3 linked regions of the Pelodiscus sinensis genome follow. The protein of the gene in region 2 interacts with the protein of the main gene of each other region in a pairwise test. Links are inferred from orthologs where the notes say so. Each region holds a gene or a part of one and is shown on either strand. Other genes may lie near its edges. The genes, in order: CXXC1, TAX1BP1 and PLEKHN1.

Region 1 (7,874 bases), on a different chromosome or scaffold from region 2:
CACAACGTATGCACTGCCAATGCGGCTCATCGACTGTCCTTTTACTTCCCGGCAGCACTGAGATTTTTAGCAGTGCCCGAGCGGAGAGCAGCCCACCCAGGGTCTATTCCAGTCAGGAGACATTTCCCTGGAAATCAGACAGCCCAGCTCTTCCGCAGGGCTGTCTCCGCCCCGAGCGTATGGCTTGGAGATGGCTCTAGCCTCGGTCAGCTGGAGCACGTGCTCAGCCATTGACTTCCCGTCTCCTTCCCCCTACTCCCTCAGCCCCTAATTTTCAGCAGGGATCATGGCAGCTCCCCCATGGACGTACTCAGGGATTTTCAAGCTCCTAAATTGATACCTGACACCCCACCTGCCACCCAACCCAATCATGGATGCCAAGACCGGCCGGGGGGAGGGGGAAAGACCACAGGATGTGCCGGGAGCAGGCATTTGAGGATATTTACAGCGTAAACCCAAGGGGTCTCTCTCCCGGGACTCTTTCATTCTCACACCCAGCTGGCGAGCAGGGAGAATACTTCCTGACTTAAGAGGCCAGATGAGTGTCCACAGCTGTATTTGTAGCAGTGCCACAGCCAATGAGGTGGGGTCGGAAATTCACCCAGTGCCCACGGGTCTCACCCCACCAGCCCATGCTCCAGAACCGTGGTCTGAGAATGGGCCAAGGAACCTGGCAGGCCCGTTTCATAGACTCCTAGACTTTAAGGTCAGAAGAACATAACATAAGAACATAAGAACGGCCGTACTGGGTCAGACCAAAGGTCCTTCTAGCCCAGTATCCTGTCTGCCGACAGCAGCCAGCACCAGGTGCCCCAGAGAGGGTGGACCGAAGACAATGATCAAGCGATTTGTCTCCTGCCATCCCTCTCCAGCCTCTGACAAACAGAGGACAGGGACACCATTTTATCCCCTGGCTAATAGCCTTTTATGGACCTAACCTCCATGAAATTATCTAGCTTCTCTTTAAACGCTGTTATAGTTCTAGCCTTCACAGCCTCCTCTGGCGAGGAGTTCCACAGGTTGACTACACGCTGTGTGAAGAAGAACTTTCTTTTATTAGTTTTAAACCTGCTCCCCATTAAAAAAGGGACCATTATGATCGTCTAGTCTGACCCCCTGCACAGTGCAGGCCACAGAATCTCACCTACCCCTCCTAGAATCATCCTCTCACCTATATCTCAGATATTGAAGCCTTCAAATACTTTGAAGGCCCCAAGATGCAGAGAATCCTCCAGCTGTGATCTGTATCGCATGCTACAGAGGAAGGAGAAAAACTTCCAGGGCCTCTGCCAATCTACCCTGGAGGAAAATTCCTTCCCGACCCCAAATATGGCGATCAGCTAAACCCTGAGCATGTGGGCAAGACTCACCAGCCAGATACCCAGTTCTCTATAGTAACTCCTATCATCCCTCCATTGAGCCTGGGGGCTCAACGGACGAGAAGGGAGCACTGCCACTCCAAACGGGACGGATTGCCCAACTCCGAGACGCAGCCACTTCTGGGGAGTGGCCACGCATCAGGGCAACACCGGCGCAGCTCTCTGCCCAAGGAAATCCGACCACGTTGCAGGTTGTTTACCCTTAACTCTGCCCCTTAACGCTGGGGACGGGCAGCAACTGGAGCCGGAAGGTGGTTGGAGCTGCTCTTAGAACCCTGCCGCTCAGTTCCCTGGCAACGCAGCCCCATGGGCTCATGGGACAGAATCCCACCGGCTCCCTCCACCCCCAACCTAGCACCCTTTCCCGGGCACTTACTTTGGACCCACGGCTCTGATCCAGGGCCAGCTCCTGGGCTTTCTTCCTCAGCTCGTCTTTCTCCGCCCGATCCCGCTCGCCCTCCCGCTCCTTGTCCTTGGATTTCTTGTGCCGGTATCGGATCTCCAGGGCCGGGTTCTTATCTGCGGAGGGGAGAGGAACGCACATCACAGCCAGAAAGGCCAGGGGTGCCGCCCCCCTCCCCTCCCCGCGCCGCCCCGCCCCCGTCCTCACCTCGGCACTGCAGACAGTACCATTCCCGAATGGCCTTCGCCATCCTCTCCGTGATGTTGATACAGCTGCCATGGAACCACTCGTTGCAGTTGTCACAGCCGCTGCAGGGGCGGGAGAGACGGGAGAGTCAAAGCGCTCCCTGTGCAAGCCCCTGCCCCACTCCCCCCGCCCTGCCTGCCCCAGGAAACAACCCCCTGCCCAGCCCGTGGGCCAAGTGCCTCCTGGGGCTCCCCTTGCAGGGGCGGGGAGTTACCCGGCCCCCTTCCCAGCAGCAGCAACCTAGGACACAGGCAGGGGGACCCAGGCGCCGGAGCGACCCCTCGCCTCCCCGGGGTCTCCGTACATCATGAAGCAGTTGATGTCCGGCTTGCGGCAGATGCAGTAGACGGGGGCGTTCTCGCCATTCTCCGACTTAGACTCCTCGCCCACCGCGGCCAGCTCCGGGTCGGAGAACTCGCTGTCCTGGGGGGGGGGGGGGGGCAGAAAGGGCATCAGAGAACTCAGGACTCCCAACCCCTCCAACCATCAGACCCTCCCCCCAGGGACCCCAGGAGTCCTGGCTCCCCCCCCCAACCAGCAGCCCCTCCCCCCCGAAACCCCAGGAGTCCTGGCCCCTCCCCCCCCGAGATCCCAGGAGTCCTGGCCCCTCCCCCCCAGACCCCGGGAGTCCAGGCTCCCCCCCCCCCAACCAGCAGCCCCTCCCCCCCGAGACCCCAGGAGTCCTGGCCCCTCCCCCCCGAGATCCCAGGAGTCCTGGCCCCTCCCCCCCGAGATCCCGGGAGTCCTGGCCCCTCCCCCCCAGACCCCATGAGTTCTGGATCCCCCCCCAACCAGCAGCCCCTCCCCCAAGGAGTCCAGGCCCCTCCCCCCCGACCCCAGGAGTCCTGGCCCCTCCCCCCAGACCCGGGGAGTCCTGGCCCCTCCCCCCCCAGCCCCCGGGAGTCCTGGCTCCCAGCCCCCCCGCCCCTTACCATGGTCTCTCCCTTGCTGTGGATGGAAGCAAGACAACAGGCGCTCCTGGCCAGGAAGTCCCGACAGGCCCCCCCCCCCCGGGCGGCTACTTCCGCTTCCGGGGTCACTCTCCAACCCTGGCCAAAGGCGCCCTCGCAAACCTCCCTCCCCCGGCAGCCCGCCCATCTGCCCGCTTCCAAGATGGCCGCCCTGCGGCCTCTGGCGTGCCCCTCGCTCAGCTTCGGCCCGCTTCCAAGATGGCCGCCCCCACGTCCCAGAGGCGGGGGAACGTATCCAATATGGTCACCCCGTGGAGCGGGGACCGGCCACGCCCACTGGCATCAGCGCGACCTCGGCGCCAGGCTCCAACATGGCCGCTCCGGCGCCTCGTCACTGGCAGCATTGAGGGGGCGGCCATCTTTGACTCTGGCACAGCAAGGCTGGTTGAATCAAACTCAGATTCGCTAGATGGATGGCTAGTCAGCCAGTGTTAGGGGCTGGAGATCCAGGGCTGGATCCCAACTCTGGGCCACTGTCTGGGGAGGGGAGGGCCCAGGAGCCCTGGCTCCCAGCGACACAAGGCCCAGCCAGCTTGGAGGGCATGGGGGCTCCAGGGCACCCCTGGTGCTCCGTGGCCCAGCCCCGCTGCAACGCAGCTGCACACGCTGCCCCCCTCCTGGCAGCCTCTGCGGTTGTGCCTGCCCTCCTGCAACTTCCCCTGGCTGCCATAGGCCCCTTTGGGACCCGCGCTCCACGCAGCCGTGAGCATGCAGGACAGTGTCTCCCCAACCGCGTACCATAGCCCCCCACCTTCCAGGGAGCAGGCCGTGGGCGCCGAGTGTCCGAAGTCTGGAGACTAGGAGTGCATGTCCCAGCTGGGGGGGTGCTTCTGTTCGTGGTCTCCCATGTGAAATTCACTTATTTCAATTCACCTTTGTTCTTTGCCTCCCTGATACCCTGCAGCAAGGAGTTCCACAGGATACACCACTCAGATGTGCACGGCCAAACACAGCCATATCCCATCTGCTATCCACTGCTCCCTCCCAGAGCTGAGAGCCAGGCCGAGAATCCACCATGCTCCTTGGGGAATTGGCTAATTCCTCTCCCCATTCAAAACGGATGCCTTATTCCCAGGCTGACTCTGTCCAGCTTCAACTTCCAGCCACGGGATCCGGTTAGACGGTCTCCTGCTGGCCCGTTATTAAATACTAGAAGATTTACCCAGCATTGCTCAGGTAGGTCCTTCAGGGCTGGGGCGTATGGGGCGTAGGAACCGGCGGAGACCTCACTGCTTGGGCGGTGGCCCCCCCGGGACTGGCCATGGTGGGGACCATGCTGGCCGGGTGGGATTCCCCGGAGCCGCTGCTGCCCCAGTCCCCATCGCTGGCCCCTTGCTGCCCCCCTGTGGTCATTACACTTATAACTGTCCCTGCTAGCAGCCCCCTCCCTTTCTATGTTCTGGAAAACTGTCGCATCCCGGGCACGTCCCCTTGTCCTGGCCTTGCGTTAAGTTCTGGGAAGAGGAAGCCGCCTACCGAATTTGCGGGTCCTAGCTCGTTCATTTAGGAGCTCTCAAACAAGCAGATGGATGGACAGACGGACTCGCTCGCTCGCAGGCGAACAAGCTCTCTCAGCAGACTAGTTCCCCGTGGCCCCTCCCCACGCGACCCCCATCCTCCGCAGAACCGGACCCTTCGCCCCTGCCCCGAGTCCAATAACCGGGCACAGCAGGGGCGTAAGCAGGAAGTCTTTATTCACCACAAGGAGACGGTTGTGTCCAGAGGCGACGTAACTCCAGGCCGATTTCCGCTCTAGGAGCTGGGGTGCTTGCAGAGCGGCCGTGGCTTTTAGGCAGCTGTTTCCATGCTGGCTGAACTGCCCCCAGTTCCCTGCTGTGGGGCAGAGCAGGTGAGGGAGATTGGGGGGGTCACCGTGCCCCCAGTCAGGACGGTGGGTCACAGCTGGATGGGAACACACACTGGCACCAGGCATTGGATCCCACCCCAACAGCGAGGGACGGAGCCAGCCCTGAGCACTCTGGCCCAGGAATGGCTGCAGGAGCCAGCCCACCCCACTGCTGGGCATTTAGGGAAGGGCCGTGGGTCCCACCAAAGGGACCACTCAGCCCCACCAGTTATCTTGAGGGAGCCAGCACGGCCAAAGGAGTGTGAGCGACTGCTGAGCATCCCAGCGGAGGTGGGCACCAGCAGGAACTTGGAAAGCAGACACTGTAATCTCACACACCTCGCACCAGCCAGCCAGCCCTCGCACACCATGCACCAGCCAGCCACGCCTCGCACACCTCCTGCCAGCCAGCCCTCGCACACCTCACACCAGCCACGCTTCGCACACCTCCCGCCAGCCAGCCATGCCTCGCACACCTCGCACCAGCCAGTCACACCTCGCACACCTCCAGCCAGCCAGCCCTCGCACACCTTGCACCAGCCAGCCATACCTCGCACACCTCCCACCAGCCAGCCAGCCCTCGCACACCTCGCACCAGCCAGCCACGCCTCGCATACCTCCCACCAGCCAGCCACGCCTCGCACACCTCGCACCAGCCAGCCAGCCCTCGCACACCTCCCACCAGCCAGCCACGCCTCGCATACCTCCCACCAGCCAGCCACGCCTCGCACACCTCGCACCAGCCAGCCATACCTCGCACACCTCCCACCAGCCAGCCAGCCCTCGCACACCTCGCACCAGCCAGCCACGCCTCGCATACCTCCCACCAGCCAGCCACGCCTCGCACACTTCGCACCAGCCAGCCAGCCCTCGCACACCTCCCGCCAGCCAGCCACGCCTCGCACACCTCCCGCCAGCCAGCCAGCCCTCGCACACCTTGCACCAGCCACGCCTCGCACACCTTGCGCCAGCCAGCCAGCCCTCGCACACCTCCCTCCAGCCAGCTACACAACGCACACCTCCCATCAGCCAGCCACGCCTCGCACACTTCCCACCAGCCAGCCATGCCTCACACACCTTGCACCTGCCAGCCACTCCTTGCACACCTCACACCAGCCAGCCAGCCCTCACATACCTCCCACCAGCCAGCCAGCCACGCCTCGCACACCTTGCACCAGCCAGCCATGGCTTACACTCCTCCCACCAACCAGCCAGCCACACCTCTCACATCTCCCAGCAACACCTCGCACACTTCCCACCAGCCAGCCAGCCCTCGCACACCTCCTGCCTGCCAGTCTTCACTCACTTCCTGCCTGCCAGCTCTTCCTCTAAACTCCCCACCTTGTCGTCTCTCCTCTCCCCACTTCTCCATCCATCTCCCCATCCCAACATGCCCCTGCACCCGTGTCCTTCCTGCACACCCCTCTCTGTCTGTCTGTCTCTTGGGGGAATTCTGGCCACGTGCGGATGTGCCGGTCAATGGACTCGCCAGCCAAGCCCTGCCCCTTTGGCAGCACAGAGTCCTGTCAACAGTTTCCCTTTGTCGCCGCCATCCTCACCTGCTGGGCCTCCAGCTCGGCCGCCAGCCTGGAAGGGACCAGAAATAACGGTTCTATCAAACAAGGGGGGCACCTGGCTGGGCCCATCGCCAGGGCAGCGGCGCCCGTCACAGAGAGGAAGGGTTACACTGCACAAGGGGTGTGGCAGAGTCCTTCCTCCCAGCAGAGACTCACCGCCACTTCTGGGGGCCCGGAGCCACTGGACAGCGAGGAATCCCAGAACCCTCTGGGAACACAGGGAGAGTGGAAGGAGGGGGAAAGGACCCCGCCAGGTTGGGACTGGCCAGGGGAGTTTCCTGGACACACCAGTCAGAGCCTGGGGCGCCCAGCCCCACTGCACTAACCCCCTCGGTCCCACCCTCCGAGCCAGGCTAGAACCCAGGGGTCTGGGCTCCCAGCCTGCCCCCACGCTCACCTCTTGTACTTCTGCTGCAGTTCTGAGTGCCGGAGTGACGCTGCCTCCAGATGCTCAGTCGCGCTCTTGTTTTCCTGCTGGAACAGCTGCCTGGAGACAATAGAAAGCATGGAGCAGCCCAGCCGCCTCGGTGATGGACAGCAGCCATCCCCCGGCAAGGCAGGCTGTGCTGGAAACAGCTCTCCCTGCATTCACCTTGCCAACTGCCTCTCTGCCTCTGCCCACGCTGCCCCTAGGCACTCTCCCCACTAGCCCAGATGTTTGCTTTCACGCCAGCACCTGGGCTGTCCTCACTGCTCCAGAGAGTACCAAGGAGTCCTGGCTCCCAGTGCTAACCACTAGACCCAGCTCCCCTTCCAAAGCCACAGAGAGAATCCAAGGAGTCCTGTCTGCCAGTCCCCCCATGCTGTAACCACTAGACACCTTTCCCTTCCTATAGCCAAGGGGAGAACCCAGGAGTCCTGGCTCCCAGCGGTAACCACTAGACCCAGCTCCCCTTCCAGAGCCACAGAGAGAATCCAAGGAATCCTGTCTGCCAATCACCATGCTCTAACCGCTAGCCCTCACTCTCCTCCCAGATCCAGGGGTGGGACCAGGCATCCTGCTCGGGCTGTACTGATGCAATATGCTCCATTGGTGGCTGGCACAGGGCTGGGGGCGCTCCACACTCACAGGGCCGTGCTAGCCTCCTGGCTCTTCAGGAACATCCTCTCCTGGCTGAGAGCTGCCCTGGCCTGGGGCAGGGAGTCCAGCTGCTTCTCAACCTGGGCCAGGCTGGCTTGGATCAGCCGGTCTAGGGCAAAGGACAGAAACGGCGGCACGGGGCCACATCACTCCGGTGCAGGGGTCTCAGGGAGAAGGCACGAGGCCCGACTCCTGGAGCGAGACCCCCAAGATCCCCGACAGAGATCAGGGTCCCATTCTGATGGGCACCGCCCAGACCCCAACCAAGAGGCAGGTCCTGACCCACGCATCTGCACTCGAATGAGACAGCCCCGAGGGAGGATTATTCTGCCCCTTTCACAGCTGGGAAGCGGGGCCGGAGAGATTCGTCA
Region 2 (7,658 bases):
AGAATGCTGCGGTCTGGTAGTCAGGGATTCACAGCCCGCCATCGGTCCATGGATCAGTGGTTGGGAACCACTGCCTTGGGCAATCCCTACCTGTTCTGACATCATGCAGCATCCCAGAAGTGGCCAGCAGCAGGTCCAGCTCTTAGGCAGTAAGGCCACAGGGCTCCCCATGCTGTCCCTACACTGAAATTGACTAGAAACCAGCCAATAGGAGCTGGGGCAGGCCAGTGCCTGCAGGTAAGAGTTGTGCGTAGCTGCTTGCATGCCTCCACCTAGGAGCTGGACCTGTTGCTGGCTGCTTCTGGGGCACTGTATGGTCAATGGTGCCAAGATAAGCAGGAAGCCTGCCTTTGAACCTCTGCTAACTAAAGGCTATGGGAGGTAAGCCCATTACCCAACCCTGTGCCCCAATCCCCTGCCCCAGCCCTGACCCCCCCAACCCATAATCTCCTCCACTCTATATCCCTCATCCACGACTCCATCTCATAGCCTGCATCACCAGCCCTAACCCCATCCTGCACCCAACCTCCTATCCCAGCCCAGAGACCCTCCTGCACCATGAACCCCTCATCCCCAGTCCCGCTTGACAGCCCTCACCCAAGCCCTAAACCCTTTCTTGTACCCCCAAATCCCTTATCCCCAGCTCCGCTGGGTCTCAGGCATCAACAATTTTCTTCAATTGGGTCCCCAGAAAAAAAAGTTTGAAAACCACTGAGTTTATTAAAGCTTTAACTTTATTGCCAAATGACCCTTAGTTCCTATACTGTATAATGCAGGGGTGGGCAATCATTTTTGTAGGGAGGAACACTTCACCAATGTTGTTAGTGGTCATGAGCCAGTCCCGGAAAGTGTGGGACCTCAGCTGGAAGGGACAGCTCCCTCTAAGCACCATGTGGGGGAGGAGGGTGAGGAGAGGAAGGAGACTTTGCATGCCCCCCCTCCATGGGGCAGGGAAGCACAGGAGGTCTTCTCCCACCCCGCCCCTCCCCCCCACTGTGCTAAGGGCATGCAGCACACAGAGGGAACTGCTAGCCATTTTGAACTGGCAGTTCCCTCTGGTGCCATGTGCCCCAACAGGGGAAGGGTCTTGACTGGCCTGGGGGGTGGGGGCATGGCAGGGTGGGCTGCAGGCCAGATGAAACAGCTTGGTGGGCTGAATCCAGCCCATGGGCCGTATCTTGCCCACCCTGATGTAATGTGACTGATGAAGGGGGCCTCTGATTACTACAGGGAACCAATGTAGGAAAAGATTTTTATCAGCTGTTTTATACACTTCATTAATGGATCTACTAATTCTGCCTTCTGATGGATTTCTACTCAATTAAATTACATTTTAAACAATATTATCTATATTGACTATGACAAGTGGAAAATTACATCTCTCCATCTGCAGAGGCCTATATGTGGAACACAATATGAAATAAAATGAAGAAGTAAAAGGAAAAGTCACAGTTCACTGGCCTGGCTACACCTTTGACTTCTTTCTGCCCTTTCCAAGTACACCCCTCTCAGGCTTTAGCTCTTATACACCTCATCCCTTTACCTACCCTGGGATGAAAACAGACTCCCATGATTCTCCCATTCTTAGAACCAGTCCCTGGGCAACAGTACCCTGTGTGCCAATTGTGATTCCTCAGCAGGTCTAGCTAGGCAATATGAAACTCTTCCCCTCAGGTGTGGTCACCAGTTGTAAAAACAACAACAGAACAGCCTTTTCAAAACAAAATATTTTAAAGTTCAACAGTAAGAACAAAACATGAGAAAAGGGACTATTTATCTGTACATATAAGATCTAGTCCTTCATATTAATTATAATTATGCTACATGACCCCACCAGCTAAAAGGGAAAAAAAACAATGTGGGCTATGTAATATGTAAGATTTTATGTCCAAGAATACTTGAAAAAATAACTGATATGTTAAAATACATGAAAATACTAGGAGAGGGGTGAATTATAGGGCTATATTAGGGTGGCATTTAGAGAAGCAGGATAACATTTCAAGTGTTTATTTTAGACACCAAACAGTCTAAAGCATTTTCTTGAAGGGGAATATTCAAGCTAAAAGCTGCCACAGCAAGAGAGAAGAAGGGCAGGGAAAAACCTGAGTGCGTAACCCTAATGCGATGCTGCCTGGAGAAAGCATAGACTCTCTGATTAATCACTGGCTGGAGTTATGCAACTACTCTGATCCTCTCCTAAGTACAGAAGGTAGCTTGATCGGAAAAAGGTAAATAAGAGCAATTTGTTCCTGCAGGGTGAAGGAAGGTCCACCAAGAGGGCAAAGGCAGTGAGTTACAGTATACGTGCCTGTGATACTCTGGCACCAGGAATATTCCTGGCCCGGGTCTGGGGTCCGCCAAATTCACTGTCACTGCCTGCCATGCCCTGCATCTCCTGGCATCTTGCTGCCCCACAGGCTCTGTCCATCCCCCAGTGTTTCCATGCCATGTGCTTTTCCAGCAGCTGAGAGCTGGGGCAGCAGCACCTCGAGATCCCTACTTCTTCCAGGAGCCATTGCCAGAGGATGGGTCCCTCGCAGAAGCATGGTATCCCCTAACCCCTCCTCCCACTCCCTCGTGTGCCCCACTCCTTCTAGCCCCTACACTCTTTCCCCCTGCCTGCTTTCCCCCAAAACTCCCTCCCAGACCCAGGAACCCCACCCCCTGCACCAGGCCAGAAGCAGCACCCAGACTCCATCCCGGAGCTTGCACCCCTGAATTCCTCCTGCACCCTAATTCCCTCCCAGAGCCTGTACCCCTTCCCCACCCAAACGGCCTCCCAGAGCCTTAGGCAGGTGGGGGCTTGAGTGAGGTAGGGGCTCTAGGCACCACCAATATTTGTACAAAAATGCTGCTTCTGCCAGAAGGACGGGGCGGGAGGGGGCACCCCACTGGGCAATGAAAATACTGGCAGGGACACAGGGCTACCCCACTCACCTAGGGGAGTAAGCGAAGGCGCCGGCTGCAAGAGGTGCAGGGAGCCTCACCTTGGCCCAGTCCCGCTTGCTCACGAGCGGGCACCACCCCCCCAGACCCGCCCATCCGTGGGCGGTGGAGCAGGCACAGCTGCCTTGTCTGTCATGGGGTTGGAGGCGAACCCGGCAGGTCACTGGCAGGAAGATGGCCCCTCTCATTGGTGTGCGGCTGCCAAGGCCACGCTGTGGTTGGCTACGCTGGCTGCCACTCGTCTTCTTCCCCCGCCCCGTCCACGGTCACAGGCAGAGAGGGCCAGGCGGGGGCGGTGTTTGAGTGGAGGTCACGTTGAGTGGAGGCGGCATGGCAGCGGTGTTACTGCTCAGAGGCTCTGCCAGGCTCCTGCACGCGCACTGGAAGGTGCATGCTGCCGGCACGGCAATGGGTAAGCACCCGCCTCGCCCTCTGCCTGGGGATGCGGGGTGACATTTTCGCAGGGCGAGCTGGGGTTGCAGAGCGTGGTCCCGTTGTGTCCAAAGGCCGGGCCTCCGTCCTGAACCCGCCCGTGGGGTGCTGCTTCCTACCCCCTCGCTAAAATGGCATGTGGGTCAGTCAAGTGACAGCTCTGCCCCACAACTTCTTATCACGGGAAAGCAGGGGCTGTGGGGTGGGTGGTAGTTGGAGGCGCACGGGAGTTGCACGCCGGATTTAACGAGTGCATCAGTGTGCTTGGAGGACTATTTCCCCACCCCTGACAAGCGTCTAATTCCTCAGATGAAACATGCATTGAGGTTTTGAAAGCCCTGATAAATGTGTTTTCTAGCACGCGAGGATTATCACCTGTGTTTTGCACCTTTTACAAGTGTTGTGCACTCTATTAAAGCCATACAGGTTGTAAAATTATATGAGGCTTATATCAATACTTAATGTTATGAGTAGCTTAGTGTAATAAATATTTTACATGTTTATTTAAAATAGCATATGTAGATTTTAAAACAGCCCACAGAAGTTTATGTGAAGCTAGTGAGTTAAAACATGTTCTTCATATCTGTAATCGGTACTCATACTTGTTTGCTTTCTCTCTGATTATATTTCATTATTTTTGAGCCAAAGCTGAACCCAGAAGCACTTTTTAAATATTCAAGGCCTTTATATTACACACATTTATGTCCATACTTCAGTTTACAGACAGGAGGAGTTCAGCTGAGTGTGAAGTAAAACAAGTGTATATGCAGGATTAGTATAACGTTTCCCTTGTCTCCTGCCTTTGCTTTTAAAAGGACTCTGGTGATTTAAGGTCCATATTTTGGTTTGAAATTGTTCTATAGTATGTAATAACAGCTAAGATTGTTATAAGTGAAATAAATGGCAGAATCTTTCTGTGGTTATTTTAGATTTGTTTATTTTCTGCATTTGACACCTTTTTCTGTTTCCCTTGTGTTCAGTTAGTTTTCCCTGTGCTTATTGGGGGTCTTTCACATACTGTAGTATATGGAAAATATAAGTGTATTTTTAAAAAGGGGGAATGTGACTTTAGAACCACAAAATATGCCAGGAGGCTCAGCAAAAGGTGTACTGAAACTACTATATTATTTTTAAGTAAAATTTTAAGCTTAAAAGGCCCTTCATAATTTTATTTTTTTAGATCAATAAAAACAAATGTCTCACTCTCTTAATTTTCTGTGTGTGTGTGTATGTGTACATATACATATTTTTTTCCTGTGGGATGATAGTGACATCATCATGTCACTCTGCATCCTGCCTGCTCCCTCTTCCCTCCCTTTGCCCCCAGCCTCCACACAGAAAGAACAGAGCAGCCCAACTGTGCAGGGACACCCCATGCTGGGGGGGCCCATCCCACAGACCTGCTCGGGCCTGATTCACCCCATTACCCGATCTGTGCCCACCCAGCAAAGCTAGATATCCCAGATCCCACAGAGATGAGATAAGCTCCCAATGCTCTCCCCTCCCTCAAGGGAGAAGAATCAGAGTCCCAGGATCTAGGGATGTAACATCCCAGTTTATCAGTTAAACATTAGGTTAAACATTTAATGGGTTAACAGACTATGCAAGATCTGAACTGGGGCAGTCCCTGCTTGTGCAGCTCCCATCCCTACACTGGGGATGGCTGCTAGCTCCCAACCCCACATGGGAGCTGGGACTGCTGCTGGCTTCCAGCCCCCACTGGAGCAACCTCTGTCCACAGAGGCTTCTCACGGACAGAGGCTGCTCCACAGAAGCAGACCCTGCCTATAGGGCGCCCAGGATGCGGGAGTAGTGCCTACCTGCAGCAGGTCCTCTGAAGCACTGGACCTACTCCCTCCCCCGCACATGGCAGGCGGGGGGGCTGCTCAAGTCCCCACCAATAACCAGTTAACCAGACCGGGTAAGCATCACCTGTTTAGTGTGGTGCCTACTGCCTAAACAACCAACCTTTCACATCCCTAGCACCCGTGCTCTACCGTACCAAATTCATGACCATGAAAAATGCACCAAAGACTGTGAAATCTGGTTCCTCCCCTTCTTCCCCCCCCCCCACCCCCGAAAAAAAAATCTGATCTTGTGTGTGTTATGCATACTATATAGATTTCACGGGGAATCAGATTTCACAGGTGTTTCCCAAATTGGGGACCTGATTTCTAAAGAGAGTAGCAGGGGGAATTACAAGTTTATTTGGGGAGGTTTGTGGTATTGCCACCCTTACTTCTGTTATGCCGTCAGAGCTGAGCAGCTGGAGAGTGGTGGCTGATGACTGAGGGCCAGTTCTCCAAGCAGAAGCACAGTAGTTAGGGTGGCAATAGAATACCATGCCATTCTTATTTCTGTGCTATTGCTGGTGGCAATGCTGCCTTCAGCAGCCATAGATCTCTGGCTCCTGAGATCTGAAGACAGCACCACTGCCAGCAGTAGTGGAGAAGTAAAGGTATCTGTACTGCAACACCCTCTCTGCCCCCTGTGCGCATGCACACACACACATGATAACCTTGCGACCACTGCACATCTCCTTTTTGGGTCAGGACCCCCACAATTACAACGCTATGAGATTTCACCTTTAAATAGCTTAAATAAATAAAGTTACCTTTTTTAAAAATCCAGCGACCATGAAATCGTCGGTATTGCCTTACCTAAGTCACTGTCTATTATGGTTGAACAGGCAATAGAGGGTGGGAAGGCCTGAAATAGGACAAGAAATAGAAGGTTATTGTATAAAGTAGCTTCAGGGGATAGCCGAGTTAGTATGTACAGGATAAACTTAAAAAACAGCAAATGGTCTGGTAGCACTTTATAGACTACATGTTTTGTTAGATGGCATCATGAGCTTTTGTGGGCACAGCCCACTTCTTCATACAGCTCACTACAGGATAAAGTAGCTCAGTCAGAAGCACAGAATTCATTCTTGTGAAATTTCAAGGTCCTAAAATGTTTCATTTCTAAACTGAACCCTCATACTTTATGAAAGGCTGCATCAGTTGACATATTTCCTCTGGGCACAACCTTGTTAACTGCAGTTACGGAAGTACAGAGACAATGTTAAAATTAAAATTATAAAAACCTTTTCTTCCCAGTTGATGCAGATAATGCCCTTGCTGTAAAAAGCTTTTTGCTATCATTTCAGGCCTTTCATGTTCTGAAGGCTATTAAAATTGTTGTGGGGCCCTGTTGGCAAAGGGAGATGTTATTTCAAGCTGCGATGTGTTTGGCAGAATTATTCAAAGGAATTGTGAAAAAACAGCACATTTCTGAGTAGTGTGCTATAAAGGAGACCCTGAAAAACACGTTCTTTTCTCTATTAGGCTATCTGGAGTTCTTTCTTTAAGGAAAAGTTTTCAGCTATCAGCTACCAAAATTTGGTCAGAATTCCTGAGGGAAGCAACAAGATGCTATCTTAGCTCATTCATTGATTCTCCTGTTATTGCTGCATGCAAACATGCAGGACTCTACCACATTCCTCCTCTCTGAACATGCAACACATTATGTGCAAAAACTGACACCTCACTCATACTTGGGAGAAATGATTTTGTGATCTCCAAACTTCATGAGCTGTGTCAACTGAATTGTGCTAGTTTTGGAAATAGAAACTCCTGGAGTGCACTGTTTCCAGGTGGCTCCATAGATTGGCAAATTATAAGCCCTTACTACTAAAAAGAAAACATTGGTTACTTTATAGTAACAATACCATTCACAGCGTTTAATGGATGATTTAAATTCCCAGTCACCACTTTGAACTCCATGCAGTAGGATGGCAGGGGAGGGGAAGTGCCAAGGTGCTGTGATATAATCCAGCAGTAGTGAACACGTTGGTAGCTGGGGCTTATCATAACTTTTGTATTTCTCCTTAGAGCAGTAATTCCTCTTATTATTACAACTATTCTCTGCAAATTGGAGTCATACCTACTGTCCTCTGCAGTGGCTTCTGCCTCCATCAGGTTTGCCGTGAGCTGTTCCTGTGATGTAGGAGGGGAATTGAATGGCTCTTCATAATGCAGACCTAGAATTTTCCATTGATCCTGAACTACAGTTTGCTCTAGGTCTGCGTTCATAACAGGTGCACCAAGTGACTCTTACTCGGAGCTTGCTGCTGGCTTCAATCAGTCCCTCTACTAGATTCAGGAGCCACCTAGGCACCATGCCAGTCATCACAAAGATCGTGGGTTCTGTACCCAGCATGGGTGGTGGATGAAAGTGATGCTTGGGGAGGCAAGCTCCCAAACCTGTGACTCCACCCATGCCCCACCCCTGCTGTG
Region 3 (6,965 bases), on a different chromosome or scaffold from region 2:
ATGGAGAGCACCCAGTCCAACAGAGTCCTGATTTTGGTTGTGGCTTGTAGATGTGACCATAATACCAATCAACACTACTGCTAGTCACATAAGCTCTTCTTCCATTGAGAATGCTGGGAATGAGCCATGCATCTGCAAAGTTTGGATGTGCCTTAGGCAGGCTTGCCCCTACCTCTCCCCCTCCTGTGGCTGATTGCTAATACATTTGCAGCTCCATCTCATTCCAGCATGGGAATGAATCGCTCTCTTTTGTACGCTCTCCCTAGTTTCCCCTCATCCTTACTCGACCTAGAAGCAAACGACCTAAGAGCAGGTGAGGCTCTGCCTACCTCCCTGCCAGCACTGCAGATTCCAGATTTTCAAGTTGATGACAGGACTTCGTGATCCCCACCCACAGGATGCTGAATTAGAGAACTGGAGTGGTGAGCTAGCCTGCCTGGAAGGAGATAGCTCTCTGCTTCTGATCCCTGGTCTTCCTACAAATATCCCCCATCCCCAGCCTCTGATCTCCCTCGCCTGGACACGTGCAGAAATGCCTGCTCATCTCATACACATGGGAGCTCCTATTCAAGTGAACCCCGCTGCAGGTAAGAATAACTTCCCCTCATTCAAGGGTATGGCTGGATGGGTTTGTACTTACCCTCCCAGGAATATACTGCAGTATTTTATCTGCCGTTATGTCTCTCTCATGCCCTGATTCAATACCAAAGAGGCTGGCCAGCTTTTTCTTGCTGTCTTGTCTGCAAAGAAAACAAACACGCTGAGATCAAAGCTGGGACATTGCAAACCCCCCACTCAGAAATAAGGAAGCTGGGGAGCCAAGCAAGCAGTTTGTCACAGGCCTTCTAATAATCCCAGCCCAATAAACAGCTGCTAATCAGCCTGCAAGAATGTTAATGGCTTTGCATGGCACTTGTTGGCTTGGCTTTGGTTTATTTACTTACCTTTGCGTCACCAAAATGATCAACAAGCCCTGTCTGCATCTCCAGCCTCGCCTCCCAACTCCCCCAGGCAAAAGATGGAGCCTGCGCTGGAAGTGTCAAACCAGCACTCACCCACTCCATTTTATTCCATCTTGTGCCTCTCCTGATGCTGTCCTCTGAATCCCAGTAAAATTCCATCCCTGTGCCTGGGGGCGCACACCCACACCCGTGTTAATGCGCACTGCTGCAGCTCCCCAGCTGCAATTTCCCAGGCAGGTCACGGGTGCTGCTTTTTTCAAGGCTTCCTCTCTCTTTAAACCACATTGCACCACACTGTAACACTGGTCATTTGCAATGGACTGAAGAGCTCATCCTGCAAGCAGCCAAGTGACCTTAGAGCTCAGTGGGGTCTATGGGAGGCGCACTGCACAGGATCTGGGCCGGCATGCTGCACACTTCTCGGGGCCAGTGATCTTGGGTCTGATTCTCCTTTCCCTTGCATCTGTTTTACTCCATTGCAACGGCCTCCCTTTAGAGTAGGGGTGAGCAAATACAGGCCCACGGGCCGGATCCAGTCTGCCAGGGTTAGCCCCTAGCGGACCCCCACACCACCATATTTACCTGCACTGCCACAAGTGTGTGTGTGTGGGGGGGGGGGAATCACAGATCCCACTGGCCATGGATCACTGTTTCTGGCCAATGGGAGCTGCGATTGCCCATACCCATGGAGGTACAGGTAAATATAGTGGCAGCAGCCCACCAGGGGCTAACCCTGGGGAACCCCGGCCCGTTTTATTGCCCCCCTTATGTTACTGCTGATATAATCAATGTCAAGAAGACAAGAAACACTCCTGACATCCTGGCTGTTGGTTTGTAGAGCCCTGAGGGTTTCGGAATGCTCTCTTGAACTCCAGGGTGCAAGATAATACAACAACACAATGCTTTCTCCAGCTTCAGACCACTTAAAAGAAAACCACTGCCCTCCACAAAGGCCTGGCTCACGCTATGGTCCGGATCAAACATGCCTGGAAGGCAGCAGCCTGGGGAAGGTCCCACTTCACACACACACATGGGTGGGCATAGCAGGAAGCAATATATGGTGTTGCTGGGATCAGGGGACTTAGCAAAGGGGTGGGTGCAGAGAGCTGCAAGACTTCTGATACTTGCATGGGACTTTCCTAGCGGCTCCGTGGAAAACCTCAACGATCTGCTTCTCTCAGGGGTTATGCTGCTGCCCATCACCCTGGTATCGGTGCGCCTTCCAGGTACCACTGATACCAATACCAAAGTCCCGACGAGACTTCCTGGAGTGTCTGGCACGTCCCCCTCTTCAGGGTGACAAGGCTGGGAGACATGATGCAACTAGACATCCCGGGGGGGAAGGGAGGGGTTGGGGTCTGTCTGATCCTGCTCAAGCTCAAAGCAGCAGCAGCCACCGGCACGTTCCCCGGCGAGCCACGTGGGGACGAGCTCTACTTTTCCCAAGGAAAAGGAAAGACGCCGGCCCTGTTCTTCCTCGCGGGGCCGCCGCCCGCCGGAGCCGTCCCACGCCTCTTCTCCGAGCCTGGCAGGAACCCGAGCTCGCCCCGGGCTCTCCCACCCCCCGCCAGATCGTGCGCGTTCAATGCACATTTGGCTACGCCCGAGTGTAGCCCCCCGCGACTGTCCGGAGACGGGCTGGGGAACCGAGGGGCGCTTTAAACCAGGGCCAGAGACACCCCCCCGAGCCGGTACTTACTCTTTCTTCAGGGAAGGCTTCCTGCTGAAGGAGTATCGGAAGCGCCCCGCCGGCTGGGGGACACAGGTCGTGTTCCCCATGGGGACTGCAGCGGGGCGCGCCAGGCAGGGCGAGAGGGAGCGAGGGAGTGAGGCGCTGGGAGCCGGGCGAGCGAGTCATGCAGACATTCCCAGCCCCACTTCCGTCCGCGGTGACTCTTGTGGGTGTGATCTGTGCGCAAACAGCCTTTTGGCCCAGGGCTGTTCCCACCGGGCTCTCCTCGCTACCCCCCCTCCCCGCAGCTCCACGCCGCACCGGGAGGGACCTGCGCAGCCGAGGAACCCCACAAAGCCTGGGTGGCCCCCCCTGGCTCCTGGGCTGGGGGACGGGGGTTTTAATCCCGGCGAGATTCCCTCGGAGGACGCACGTGGGTCTCGCGGCTGCAATCGGATCACCCAGGCAGACCCCTGCACAAGCCAAGGCGCCCGGACACACAGCGTCCGGCCAATGCCTGGGGCTCGTGTGCCTTTATTTTGCGGAATGACTTGGTTTGCAAAACCCATGGCGCTCTTGTAGAAGCATGTCCCACTGCTGTTCCTAGCGCCAAAAGTGCTGGCTCCCACAGGGGGGATTTCTCTTTTAGCCCTCCTTTGGGCAGCTAAAAACAAATTAAACAGTGAACCACAAATTAGTGGCAGCTTCGCTGCATGTTCAGCTCTGGAATCAATTGCCTAGGAAGGCTGCGGAATCTCTATCCTTGGAGATATTTGAGAGCAGGTTAGACAAACACCTGTCAGGGATGGTTTAGATCAGGGGTGGGCAAGACAGCCTCCGTGTCAAGTCTCCTCCCCCCACCAGGGGTCCCAGTCATCAGAGGGAATCACAAGCTGCTTTCTCTCTAGGGGTGTGTCTAGACTACAGGGTTTTATCGACAAAGGTGGACTTTTGTTGACAGAATGATACCTGCATCTACACTACCGCCGAGTTCTGTAGACACAACGTCGACAGAACTCGGCAGTTTTGTCGACAGCAGTAAACCTCATTCTACGAGGAATAATGCCTTTTGTCGACAGAGTTCTGTCAACAGAAGGCGTTATTGCATCTACACTGTGCTTTGTTTCTACACTCTCATGTCCACAAAACAGCTTACTTTGTCGACAGAATTGGATGTAGTCTAGACGCTCTTTGTTGACAGAAGCTTTGTTGACCTTATCTGTCGACAAAGCCTCTGTCTACAAAAGCCTGTAGTCTAGAGTACCCTAGGTGCTGGAGGGGGGAGGTGGGGAAAGACTTCAGTGCTCTCCCCCACACCCTGGCCAATTAGGGTCTGTGGGTGAAGCTGCACAGGAAGCCTCCTGGCCCCACCTCTTCCTCCCGAGGCCTCGCCCCTTCTGGGGCAGCCCTCAGAAATTTGGGAAGTGGCTCTCCTTCACACGTTATTGTCCATCCCTGGTTTAGATGGTGCTTGGACCTGTAAATGCAGGGGACTGGACTTGACCTCTCAACGTCCCTTCCAGTTCTATTATTTTATGATTCTGTGTGAGAACCTTAGTTATTTATGTACACGCAAGCATAAACTTCAAACCAGTTATACAAATACACACGGTGCTTTAAAAGGGGCTGTGACAGGGCGCTTGCCCTGCACTGGCCCTTTAAGGGCAGACTCCGGCCTGAACCAGGGCCAGGGAGTTTAGCCCAGCTGAGGCTGTACTAGTCCATTAGGGCCCAGCTGGGAGCTATAATAGAGGATGGGCTGCTGCTGTGAAAGGGGAGTAGTGAGAACCTGGCTGGGGAGGGAGGTGGCTCAGGCTCCCTGGAGCTAGGGCAGGGCTGGGGGAGGCCAGGCAGGGCTAGGGGAGCTCTGGCCAGCAAATCCTCAGACTGCAGGGCTTGAAAGAAGGCCCAATGAAGGAACATCGACCCCCGGAAGGGGGGCTCAGAGACAGACTTGGGCACTGCTGGAGGGCAGTGTGGCAAAGAGGATGCCGCAGCCGGGAGTAAAGAGGGGAGACACCACCCCAGAGAAGGCACCCTTTTTTAGTTTTTTTAATTGTATCCTTTGGTATATATGGTTGTGACTACTTTCTTCCACTATTTGATCTGAGGAAGTGGGTCTGGCCCACGAAAGCTCATAATCTAATAAACCATCCTGTTAGTCTTTAAAGTGCTACATTGTCCTGCATTTTGCTTCCCCTACCCGCTGAGGGAGCCAATTCCTGAGGACAGATGGCAGGGGGGTTACGGTGGTGAGTGCACCCCCTTCACAGGGGCCAACTTCACAAAGCTCAAAGTCTTTAGGAGCCAAATCAGCAGGAAGTAAGAATTTGAAGAGAGAAAAGCATGTGATAATTGGGGACTGTTTAAAAACATTTACTTAGATGGCCAAAAGACACAGGCAGGAAAAAATTTAGACTGTAAGCTCTTTGGGGCAGGAACTGTCTTTAAGAAAACAAACTGTTTTTTGTAGTTGCTTTCACTTTCCCTCTAAACCAAACAAAAATAACTTCTCAGTATATAATAAATGGGGAAAAGGGTAAGATGACTCTACATTAGAAGCTAGGAAGCACGCAAAGACACAAGGAGGAATCTTTAGCTAGCAGAGAAAAAGATACTAAGGAGGTTTTGAAAGTATACTAAGAACAAAAGGAGTCCTAATAGGAGTATTGGTCTATTGCTGAATGAAAATGGTAGCTTTGACAACAGCAGTACAGAAAATAAATATTTCTGTTCTATGGTTAGAAAAAAGCCAAGATGATGACTTTTTTTCCATTTCATTAGTAACTAAAGAGAATGTTAAACAGTAGCTGTCAAAACTTTCAAATTTTGATATTTTCGAATCAGCAGCCTTAGTAACTTGCATCCAAGAGTTTTAAAAGAGTTGGCCCAGAAGCTCTCTGGCCCATGAATGTTGCTTTTCAGTATGTTTCAGAATGCTGGGCATGCTCCAGAGAAGTAAGAGAAAGCTAATGTGCTTATATTTAAAAAGGGTACAGGAGATAATTTGTGTAATTGTAGGGCTGCTAGCCTGACATTGCTTCCAGGCAAGATAATGGAACAGCAGATATGAAAATTGATTAATGAAGACTTAAAGGAGGGTACTATATTTAATGCTGATCAACATGGGTTTATGGAAAACAGATCTTGTCAGACTAACGTGGACTTTTTGGAGGAGATTACTAGTTTGGTTGACAAAGATCATAGTGTTAATGTAATAGATTTCTGTAAAGCATCGGACTTGGTCCTAGAAAAGCGGCAAGGAGTTCTGTGGCACCTTATAGACTCCTTGCCGCTTTTGCAGATTCAGACTAACATTCCTAGGACCAAGTCAAGTATCAGAGGGGTAGCTGTGTTAAACATCATGTAACAGGATAATGGTGTAACCCAGAGGTGGGCAATAAAATTGTGATGGTTCACCAGGATTAGCCCCTGGTGGGCCGTTGCTGCTGTATTTACCTGCACCTCCACAGTTACGAGCGATCACAGCTTCCATTGGAGCTGTGCCTCACACCCACAGAGGTACAGGTAAATATGGCAGCGTGTGGGCCCATCAGGGGCTAACCCTGGCAGACCAGATTTGGCCCGTGGTCTGGTATTTGCCTACCCTTGGTGTATATTGTGAAAATCTCAGAGCCTGCAGCAAAACCTCCCTGGGAGTGGAGACACCAGCCCCTGCCACAGCGAAGCCTCCCCCCCGTAGGTCAGCCCTTGCCCACTCAGCTGCCGGGGAGGTGGCTGAGTGTAACCAAGACCATCAACCAATAAGCTGAACGGTTACTCGGTTATACACTAAGATCCCTACTTGGCCCAGCATGGTATTTTAATTTAAGAACGAGAAAAACAAAATTAACGTGGCCCTCATTACATGGATTCAAAGCTGGCAAACTGATTGATCTCAAAATGTAATTGTAAATGGGGAATCCTCGCTGAGCCAGTGTGTATCTGGTAGGGTATCATAGGGATAATTTTTTTTGAGGCTGACACAGAGTATGGGAGAGTGGTAAGGGGACAGGTCTCTGGTACAGAGCGATCTGGATCACATGATGCAAGCAAACAATGGGGGCAAGCAAACAATATGCATTGTAATTGCTCCTAAAAGTACAACCTTACATATGGATATAAGAATGTAGGATGTATGTGCAGGATGGGGACTCTCTCCTGGGATGCCATGACTCTGAAAAGGACTAGAAGCCATGGTGGTTAATTAGCTGAACACAAGCTCCCAGGTAGATGCTGTGACCCAAAGAGCTGACGTGATAGGTGGATGTATAAAGTGGGCAGTATTGAGCATCTCCCTGTGTTTGCCACAGTTGCTGGAATGCTGTGTC

The links.
Region 1: the proteins of TAX1BP1 (region 2) and CXXC1 interact in binary tests that used the Homo sapiens proteins (3 or more experiments, as listed by UniProt). The two-hybrid records come from large-scale screens. The link is inferred for Pelodiscus sinensis from reciprocal best matches to the Homo sapiens genes TAX1BP1 and CXXC1.
Region 3: the proteins of TAX1BP1 (region 2) and PLEKHN1 interact in binary tests that used the Homo sapiens proteins (3 or more experiments, as listed by UniProt). The two-hybrid records come from large-scale screens. The link is inferred for Pelodiscus sinensis from reciprocal best matches to the Homo sapiens genes TAX1BP1 and PLEKHN1.

What each region holds. Positions count from the first base shown.
Region 1 is NW_027465846.1:162,732-170,605, reverse strand, and holds the start of CXXC1 (CXXC-type zinc finger protein 1), read right to left. Parts: upstream 3,092-7,874; 5' UTR 2,964-3,091; coding exon 2,961-2,963; intron 2,452-2,960; coding exon 2,333-2,451; intron 2,091-2,332; coding exon 1,990-2,090; intron 1,899-1,989; coding exon 1,756-1,898; intron 1-1,755. Other genes in the region: synaptonemal complex central element protein 1, read right to left, coding at 4,788-4,832, 6,405-6,432, 6,820-6,909, 7,492-7,612. UniProt on the Homo sapiens protein: Transcriptional activator that exhibits a unique DNA binding specificity for CpG unmethylated motifs with a preference for CpGG.
Region 2 is NC_134712.1:196,219,426-196,227,083, forward strand, and holds the start of TAX1BP1 (tax1-binding protein 1), read right to left. Parts: upstream 3,077-7,658; 5' UTR 2,938-3,076; intron 1-2,937. Other genes in the region: HIBADH (3-hydroxyisobutyrate dehydrogenase, mitochondrial), read left to right, coding at 3,277-3,358.
Region 3 is NC_134733.1:14,661,366-14,668,330, reverse strand, and holds the start of PLEKHN1 (pleckstrin homology domain-containing family N member 1), read right to left. Parts: upstream 3,027-6,965; 5' UTR 2,742-3,026; coding exon 2,662-2,741; intron 741-2,661; coding exon 641-740; intron 1-640. UniProt on the Homo sapiens protein: Controls the stability of the leptin mRNA harboring an AU-rich element (ARE) in its 3' UTR, in cooperation with the RNA stabilizer ELAVL1.